Linked DNA regions of Sus scrofa. The protein of the gene in region 2 purifies or fractionates together with the protein of the main gene of each other region. This does not show direct contact. Links are inferred from orthologs where the notes say so. Each region holds a gene or a part of one and is shown on either strand. Other genes may lie near its edges. The genes, in order: SUMF1 and SGSH.

Region 1 (3,815 bases), on a different chromosome or scaffold from region 2:
CATCTCCCAGCCACAAACCCACCGAGAATTTCACAACCTTATTCTCCTTTTGGGGAGATGGGTTGTCTCTGACCACTGCTTCCATCAACCCTGCCAGGAAGTACAAGGAAAATGAGGGGGAAATGACCATTTCTGAAGAACTCAGCTTTTTCAACTGCCCCCAAGAAAGTAGATTTCTCTCTCTAGATTATTTATGATGAACCCACATGTTATTCTGTGAAGAAAAATCAAGTACATCAAACAAATTTATCCCCACATTCTGAAAAAGGGCCCAAGACAATTTCTTCAATTACTCTGAGCTGCTTAACCCTCCACCAAGAAGAGACTGAAGAATTAATTTTCTTTATCATTATCTTTTGTGCCTTTTCAAAGGGTTACAGTTTAAAATTAAGCGTATTAGGAATTCCTGTCATGGCACAGCAGAAACGAATTGGATCAGGAACCATGGTTGCAGGTTCAATTCCTGGCCTCACTCAGTGGGTTAAGGATCCAGCACTGCTGTGAGCTGTGGTGTAGGTTGCAGATGCAGCTTGGATCTGGCGTTGCTGTGGCTCTCACGTAGGCTGGCAGCAACAGCTCTAATTAGACCCCTAGCCTGGGATCCTCCATATGCCATGGGTATGGCCCTAAAAAGATAGATAGATAGATAGATAGATAGATAGATAGATAGATAGATAGATAATAAATAAATAAATAAATAAATAAATAAATAAATAAATAAATAAATAAATAAAATAAAATAAAATAAAATAAAATAAAATAAAGCATATTAAGTTCCCAGTCCAGCTAGTTTGGGTATAAATACACATTCCTAAATCTGACTTATGAATGACTAGTTTGCTAGTGATAGGATTTTTAAATGGTATTTCCCCCACAATCTGTTCATACAACAAGAAATATTCACAGACACATTCTTTTTAAAGGATGTACTTAACACCCACATGCCCATGCCGTGTCTCAATTTTTGTATATTCTGCTGGCAGCGCTTGGTTTTTAGAGGCAAAGTAGTACACTAGCTGCATTCAACATTCCTCCCATACCAGAACAGGTAAAACTTAGGCAAACGTGGTTGTCTAAATTCCCAAGGTTTATGATGCACTGAACTGACACACTGTGGAGTTCAGGAAATAATCACGGAATGACTCAACTTCCTGACTCAACATTCACCCAGAAAAAAAATCCTTTCTCATTTTCCCCAAACAATGCTCCTCAAGCAAAATTTCAACCAATGAAAACTCAGGCAAGCAGCTGTATAATAAATACCATTTATCAGATCACACTAGTTATTAATAAACATTAATGAGTTTTGCATAGTTATTTCTTTATCTCACTTCGACCACATTTATGAGGTTGAATATAATTTCTAAAGTTATAGGAAAAGTCCCTCAAACCATTATCACCATCATAATCCAGCAGCTTGCAAAATGCCCATAGACATTTCTACTCAATGCTTTAAGGTTGAAATAATGCTTAATATCCCTTTGGGGACATTTCAAGATTAATTTCATTAGTACATAAATACCCTGCAGAAACACATGAAACTCCTGCCACAGACTGTCCAGGGAATAGATGCAGCTTTTTCATGATACATACTCTGAGACTGATACTTACTGGGTTAATTCTTTCTTCAGCAGCATGGTGAATGGTCCACCAGTCTGAGGTCCATTCCCAGGCGTTCCCTACTATATTGTAAAGGCCATAACCATTGGGAGGAAAGGCATCAACCTAAAAATAAAAAAGGGGGGGACATGCTGTCAAACTACTCACCTTGTCTTTCTAGAAAATCTCTTCAGTGCAGAAATGTACAAAGAGCTGTGCCTTCAAAGAATATTAATTCTCATTCCAACAGTGAAAATAACAATCTGGCCAATGTAAAAACAAAGAAAAGCCCTGAGCTCTCAGGGGGTCAAGGGGAGTTTAGAAACCTAAGGAGAGTTAATATTCCATGGTCAGAAAGTCAGTGAAATTATTCCTGATAGACTATTATTGATGATAAGTCAAATCTGTATCTGACTGGGCAGTGAGGGAGGGGAGGTCATGATCTTTAGACCTTCAAAAGCATAACAGAAACATCATTTTAGAGGTGGTATAAGTTTTGTCATCATAGCTGAGCTCTGTTGGCCACACAATGTCTTTGAGCACGGAGAGACCCCCAAGCCAATTCTGTCCTCTCCACCAGCCCCCACCAACTCACCAGCTTATCTTTAAGCCTCAGTCTTCATCATTAAAACACTGCGGGGACTTGTTTGTATAAAGAAAACGTGAATTTGTTATCAACCATAACTATAATACACAAAGGATTTGCAATCTTTGGGACCTGAAGTATGAGGCAAGTAACACGGACTCTTCAGAAAGCAATTATATCACGTTTCAAGGCAGACCAGACAGCCTGCCACAGAATATTGTCAAAGACTCGGTACCAAAGCATGAAGCTTGTGTAAAAAGAAGGGTGGGATAGAGGTCAGGAAAAAAAAAATCTTTGACTGAAAAGTAAATATGTACAGAACACATTTACTTTTAAAGCCTCAAAATTTTTTCCAACAGTTTTTAGTAGAAATTCTCAAACCTGGGAGTTCCTGTCATGGCACAGTGGTTAACGAATCCGACTAAGGAACCATGAGGTTACGGGTTCCATCCCTGGCCTTGCTCAGTGGGTTAAGGATCCAGCATTGCCGTGAGCTGTGGTGTAGGTCACAGACACGGCTCGGATCCCACGTTGCTGTGGCTCTGGCGTAGGCTGGTGGCTACAGCTCCGATTAGACCCCTAGCCTGGGAACTTCCATATGCCGCGGAAGCAGCCCTAGAAAAGGCAAAACAACCAAAAAAAAAAAAAAAAAATTAAGAAATTAAAAAAAAAGAAATTTTCAAATCTGAAGAAAATCTTTACAAATTTTTTTTAAATGAAAAAAATATCAAGTTATCTTCAAGGTTCTTTTTTAAAAAATCTTCCTGCAAAGTCAAGTTTTTTCCCAATGAATGAGGTCAGACAGAAAGGAATAAAATTCATTTCTATTTGGCTTCAGAAGATTTCAGATCTATGCATACATATGGAAACATCTGATACTTGGGCAATTCAGAGCACTTCAATCAAAGTTGTGAAGCTATGCAGAAAAAGAACTTAATCCAGATGAAGGAGAAAGCTGAAATTGTTCATCACTCTGCTTCCTTATTAAGCATACATCATGGAAACAGGGTGCCTATTCATTGCTTCATTCAGTAATTCCATGCATGTCAACTGAAGGCAGGAAGGGTTTGATGCCTTAAGATGTAAAAGAGCTTTAATGAGAGAGAGAGGAAGATGGCACCAAAAATAAAAAATCCAGGCCTGAAAGGCAGGGTGGGATGAGTAGGATAAGAGGATGAAAGAAAATGCACAGAAACTTCCTGGAGGGAGAGAGATCAGGCTGAAGGTGAGCTGTCCTCTACAAAGGTAGAGGCGTCTTGCTGAAATCAAGGTCAGAGTTCAAAGGTCAGAGAGGGAGTAAAGGAGGAGAGGCCAGAGGCATAAACTATTCTTTCAAGAATTTGGAGATGATCATAAAGAGTAAGATGGAATAATAGCTAGAAGGAAGAAGAAAGAAAAGAAGAAATTAATGTTTCAGGGAAAGAAGGGAAGGAGCAGGGGGGCATGAGAGCAATTGAAAGATGAAATGAACTTTCTGGAGGAAGGCATTAATTCTCAGGCTTAGAGAGCAGACAAGTGGGTTGGGTGGGGGTGCCTCTCGAGTCAACCTTAGATTTTCTTTAGGTGGCAATACTTAGCAATTGATGGGCAAGCAAGGCAACCTATGTGGTACTGTTAAACTGTAAGATGA
Region 2 (3,821 bases):
GGGCCCTCCTACCTGCACATCCTGCGGGTTGTAGGTCTGGGGGGTCCAGTCTGGGATCCACCCCATGCCACTCTCCCCGTTGCCAAACTTCTCACAGAAGGCCCCGTACTGCGGCTGGGAGTGCCCGCAGCGGTGCGGGTCGTGGAAGGCGACATAGAGGAAGAAAGGCCTGCAGGTGGAAGAGTGGGTCTGAGCACTGGGGTCCAGGTCAGCCATCGAGCCACCACCTGGCTTCTGCCCTGGGGAACCCCGTCCTTTAGGAAGAACCACCCCTCAGCTTTGCCTACTTCCCCATAACTGAGAGCCTCCCTGTGATCTACACTGCCTCAGGTTCCCTACGTCCCCTCTTCTGATAACCAGATCAACTTGAGTGTCTGGAACCTTCTCCCCCATCCACACCCCCGCTGTCTGGGGACTCCAAGAAGCCAACCAGAGACTCTGGGATTTTCATCTTGTATTAACTGCTAAGAGGTCTGGCTGTGTGCGGGCAGTAAGAGGCAGGGCCCTCCTCGCACCTGTCGTCCTGAGTCTGCAGGAACTTCCGGACCAGCAGTTTCATCCGCGTGATGTTCCGCCCCACCTGGAGGATGGAGTCATTCTCCTCCGTGTGCGCGAAGTCAAACGGGTACACGGCCTCTGGTCCCACGTGCTTCTTCCCAATGATGCCTGGAGCCGGGGAGACAGATCTGTCCAGAGCCCCTTTGGTCCCCTACCCACCTCTGTATCCCTCTCCCACTCCAAGCCTCCACAAGGACAGCCAGGCCCTTGTTCTCATGTGTCCAAGAGGCCCGGGTCTCTTGGGGTTAAGTGCTCAGAGCAGGTGACGCTGTCCAGAGTGGCTCAGGACAAGGCCACGCCCCTCTGGAGCAGGGAGGGAAGCTGCGCGAAGCCCCTCACCTGTGCGAACACCAGCTCGGCCCAGCAGCAGCGGCAGGCTCTGCACCCGGTCAAAGGAGTTGAAGTGGTGGACGTCCTGGTGCAGGCCATACATTCCGTTCTGATGCTGCCAGCAGAGATGCCGTGATGCAGGGCGCCATCTGACAGCCAGGGTGCCCCCGCACCCCAGCCTACCCCCCCAGCTTTCATGGGCGCACAAGCTCCTTGGACCATATCATGACGAGACTCAACACTGGGCTGGACAAGTACCTGCCAAGCCCCTTGCTGTGTGCTCTAAGTATAGGGTATCAGCTTGACCCATCCCAAAATCATTCCATGAGTGAGGTATTATTCCAACCCCATTTTACAGGTGAAGAAAATAAGGCACACAGAGGTAAATGATTTGGTCAAGGTCACGCAGAGTAGTGGAGCAGGACGCACAGGTGGGTAGTCCATTCCCAGCCTGCACTTCAACCATTAGGCTGGGGGTAGGGGAGGGAAGGTGGGCACATCCCTAGGGAGACCAGAGAGGGGTTCCCTGTGGGCACAGGCTTTGGCAGCCCTCCCTCTCCCATGCCCTCCTCCTGCCCCCTGCTACCCTCACCTGGGGCAGGCCAGTGAGGAGGCTGGCACGGCTGGGCGAGCAGCTGCTGACGGAGGTGAAGGCATTGCGGAAGACGATGCTGCGGCGGGCCAAGGCGTCCAGGTGAGGGGTGGTGATGGCGCTGTTGTTGTAGGCGCCACTCTCAAAGCCTCCATCGTCCGCTGAGGAAGGTGGGCGAAAGAGAGCACTAGGCTAGGCTCAGGCTCAGAAGGAGGGCTAGGCTCAGAAGGAGCAGCCTTCTGTGGGAGTGAGGGAGACCTGCTCCTGCCGCTGGGTCAGTGATGCCTGAGCCAGCATGATATCAGGCAGGAGTGATGCCCAGGGGGGCATAACCCAAGTGGGCCTGATATTCAGCAGGAATGATACCGGAGTGAGAATGCCAATAGGCACATAATGAAAACTGGGTGAGCACATTAGCGGGCAGGCATAAATCGCATGAGATCCAGGCAGGCATGTGCGCTATTGAGGGCCTGATGCTCAGGTGGGCATGCTAGCAGGCAGGCATGAGTAGTCAGTCCTGGGCTCTGCATACACACACCAGGATGTGGATCCATGTGCAGAGTCTACGCCAGTGCTCCAGAGGGGTGGGGGAGTTGAAGGGAGCCCTCAGTGGAGTGCTAAGTTACAGTTAGCTGAAAGGCCTGCCCGAGACCACAAAGTTAATCAGAGAGAGTGACCCTGGCAAAGAGCCAGACCTCAAAAGAGGAAAGAATCAGGTTGCCTTGTGACAGCTGGGCAGGGTCATCCAAGCAGGAAGTCGCATGAAGAGCACGGTGCTAGAGGAACTTGGGGTTTCAGGGTGGTGGAGGCTGCTCCCTTCAGGCAGGGGGAGAACTGAGCCACAGTGCTCTGGGGTCTGAAGAAGGGAAGGGCAAACTTAGGGGGCTATCACTGCTAGGGAGAAGATGAGAACCCCAGGGACTTGAGGCACTAGCTCCTCTTTTGGCATTCCCTCTGCCATCTGTGGACTCCCAAGTTCTGGAAAGCCGCCCAGTCTCCTGATGTGGGCGGGGACCGCAGGGTTAGCCCTGGCTGTTCTGGTCACTGGGTCAGAACCGGGGACAGCAGTGGGGTGTGAATGCTGGGGCCGACCCCTCCAGACCCCGCAGGGGGCAGGCCCCCACGGCCCACCTCTCCAAAGAGTTGACTACAAGGAGTCGGGGCAGCAAAGAAGGAAGACCGAGAATGAACTGCAACGGGGGCTGCAGGGCACGAAGCTTTAGCACTGTCCGCGGGTAGGGAGGGGCGAGTGGCCGCTTTGGGGGGCGACAACCGGCGTCCGTGGAGGGCGGTGGCCACGGAGGTCGGCGGGGACGCACTCACCGAGGATCAGCAGCACGTTCCGGCGGCGCCCCCCTTGCGCACAGCAGAGTCCCAGTGCCAGGAGCAGCACCCAACCCACCGGCTCCCGACGGCCCATGGCTGTAGCTCCAGTCGGGCCCCGCCCCGTGGTCACGTGACCACCAGCTCCGGCCCTGTCCCCGCCCACCCCGGTCACGTGCACCAGGCTCCGCCCAGGGCCCGCCCCCACTCCCCCAGCCCGCTCGGGTTTCTGCAGACCCGCTGCGGCAGCGACGGGGGACCCTGAGCTGTGGCGTCGGTCCGGTGAGTGCGCCGCGAACGGCGGCAAGGCCCAACGCGGAGTGGGTGAGCTGGCCGGGGACGGGCCGGGGTCGCCGGTGGGCTGCCGACGGTGGCGCGGCGCGGGGTCCCAGGGTGCGAGTGCCTCCGGCCGGGACCCCGCTCCCCACCCACCAGGTCCCCAGCCAAGTCCCTGCCACCCACCACCTTACTGGGGCCGGCGGGCAACGGACCGTCGGCCAGCGTGCGGTCCCAGCCCTTGGACCCCAGTATCACGGGCAGGCGGTTTCAGGGGTGAGGGTCAGGTTGTGTCCAGAGAAGCCCCCCGGGGGCCAGGGGAAGGGGGTGGTTTGTGACGGGCTCTGCGGGCCGGGGGCGCCCAGACCAAGAGAATGCGCCCTCGGAATTTCTGAGGGAGTCTCTGGCGTTCTTTTAGAACCAACTAGAACACCTAGGGCTTCTGTAAAGATGCGAACGCCACAGGTGGGGGTTGGGGTGATGCGCAGCCTCAGGATGGGAGCCCCCCCACTCCAGCGCCGCAGTCTGCCGTAGTGGGCGGAGCCTGCTGTGGTGCGCACTTGGAAATCCTCCGAGCCCTCAGGGCCTCAGTCCCCCCACCCACTCCTGGCCAGCGAGACGTGGGTGTCCCCGTGGACCCTGCTTTTCTCTGCACTTCTACCCAGTACATTTCCTGGCGGGGGGGGGGAGGGATAAAAAGAAACAAATTATCCCGGGAGGAGAAACCTTGAGACTAATTAGT

The links.
Region 1: the proteins of SGSH (region 2) and SUMF1 purify together in Homo sapiens (co-immunoprecipitation; 3 studies listed by BioGRID and IntAct, with this or other methods). This does not show direct contact. The link is inferred for Sus scrofa from reciprocal best matches to the Homo sapiens genes SGSH and SUMF1.

Annotation. Positions count from the first base shown.
Region 1 is NC_010455.5:60,985,231-60,989,045, forward strand, and holds part of SUMF1 (sulfatase-modifying factor 1), read right to left. Parts: intron 1,726-3,815; coding exon 1,612-1,725; intron 1-1,611.
Region 2 is NC_010454.4:2,241,001-2,244,821, reverse strand, and holds the start of SGSH (N-sulphoglucosamine sulphohydrolase), read right to left. Parts: upstream 2,999-3,821; 5' UTR 2,901-2,998; coding exon 2,804-2,900; intron 1,642-2,803; coding exon 1,481-1,641; intron 1,004-1,480; coding exon 898-1,003; intron 667-897; coding exon 516-666; intron 170-515; coding exon 13-169; intron 1-12. UniProt on the Homo sapiens protein: Catalyzes a step in lysosomal heparan sulfate degradation.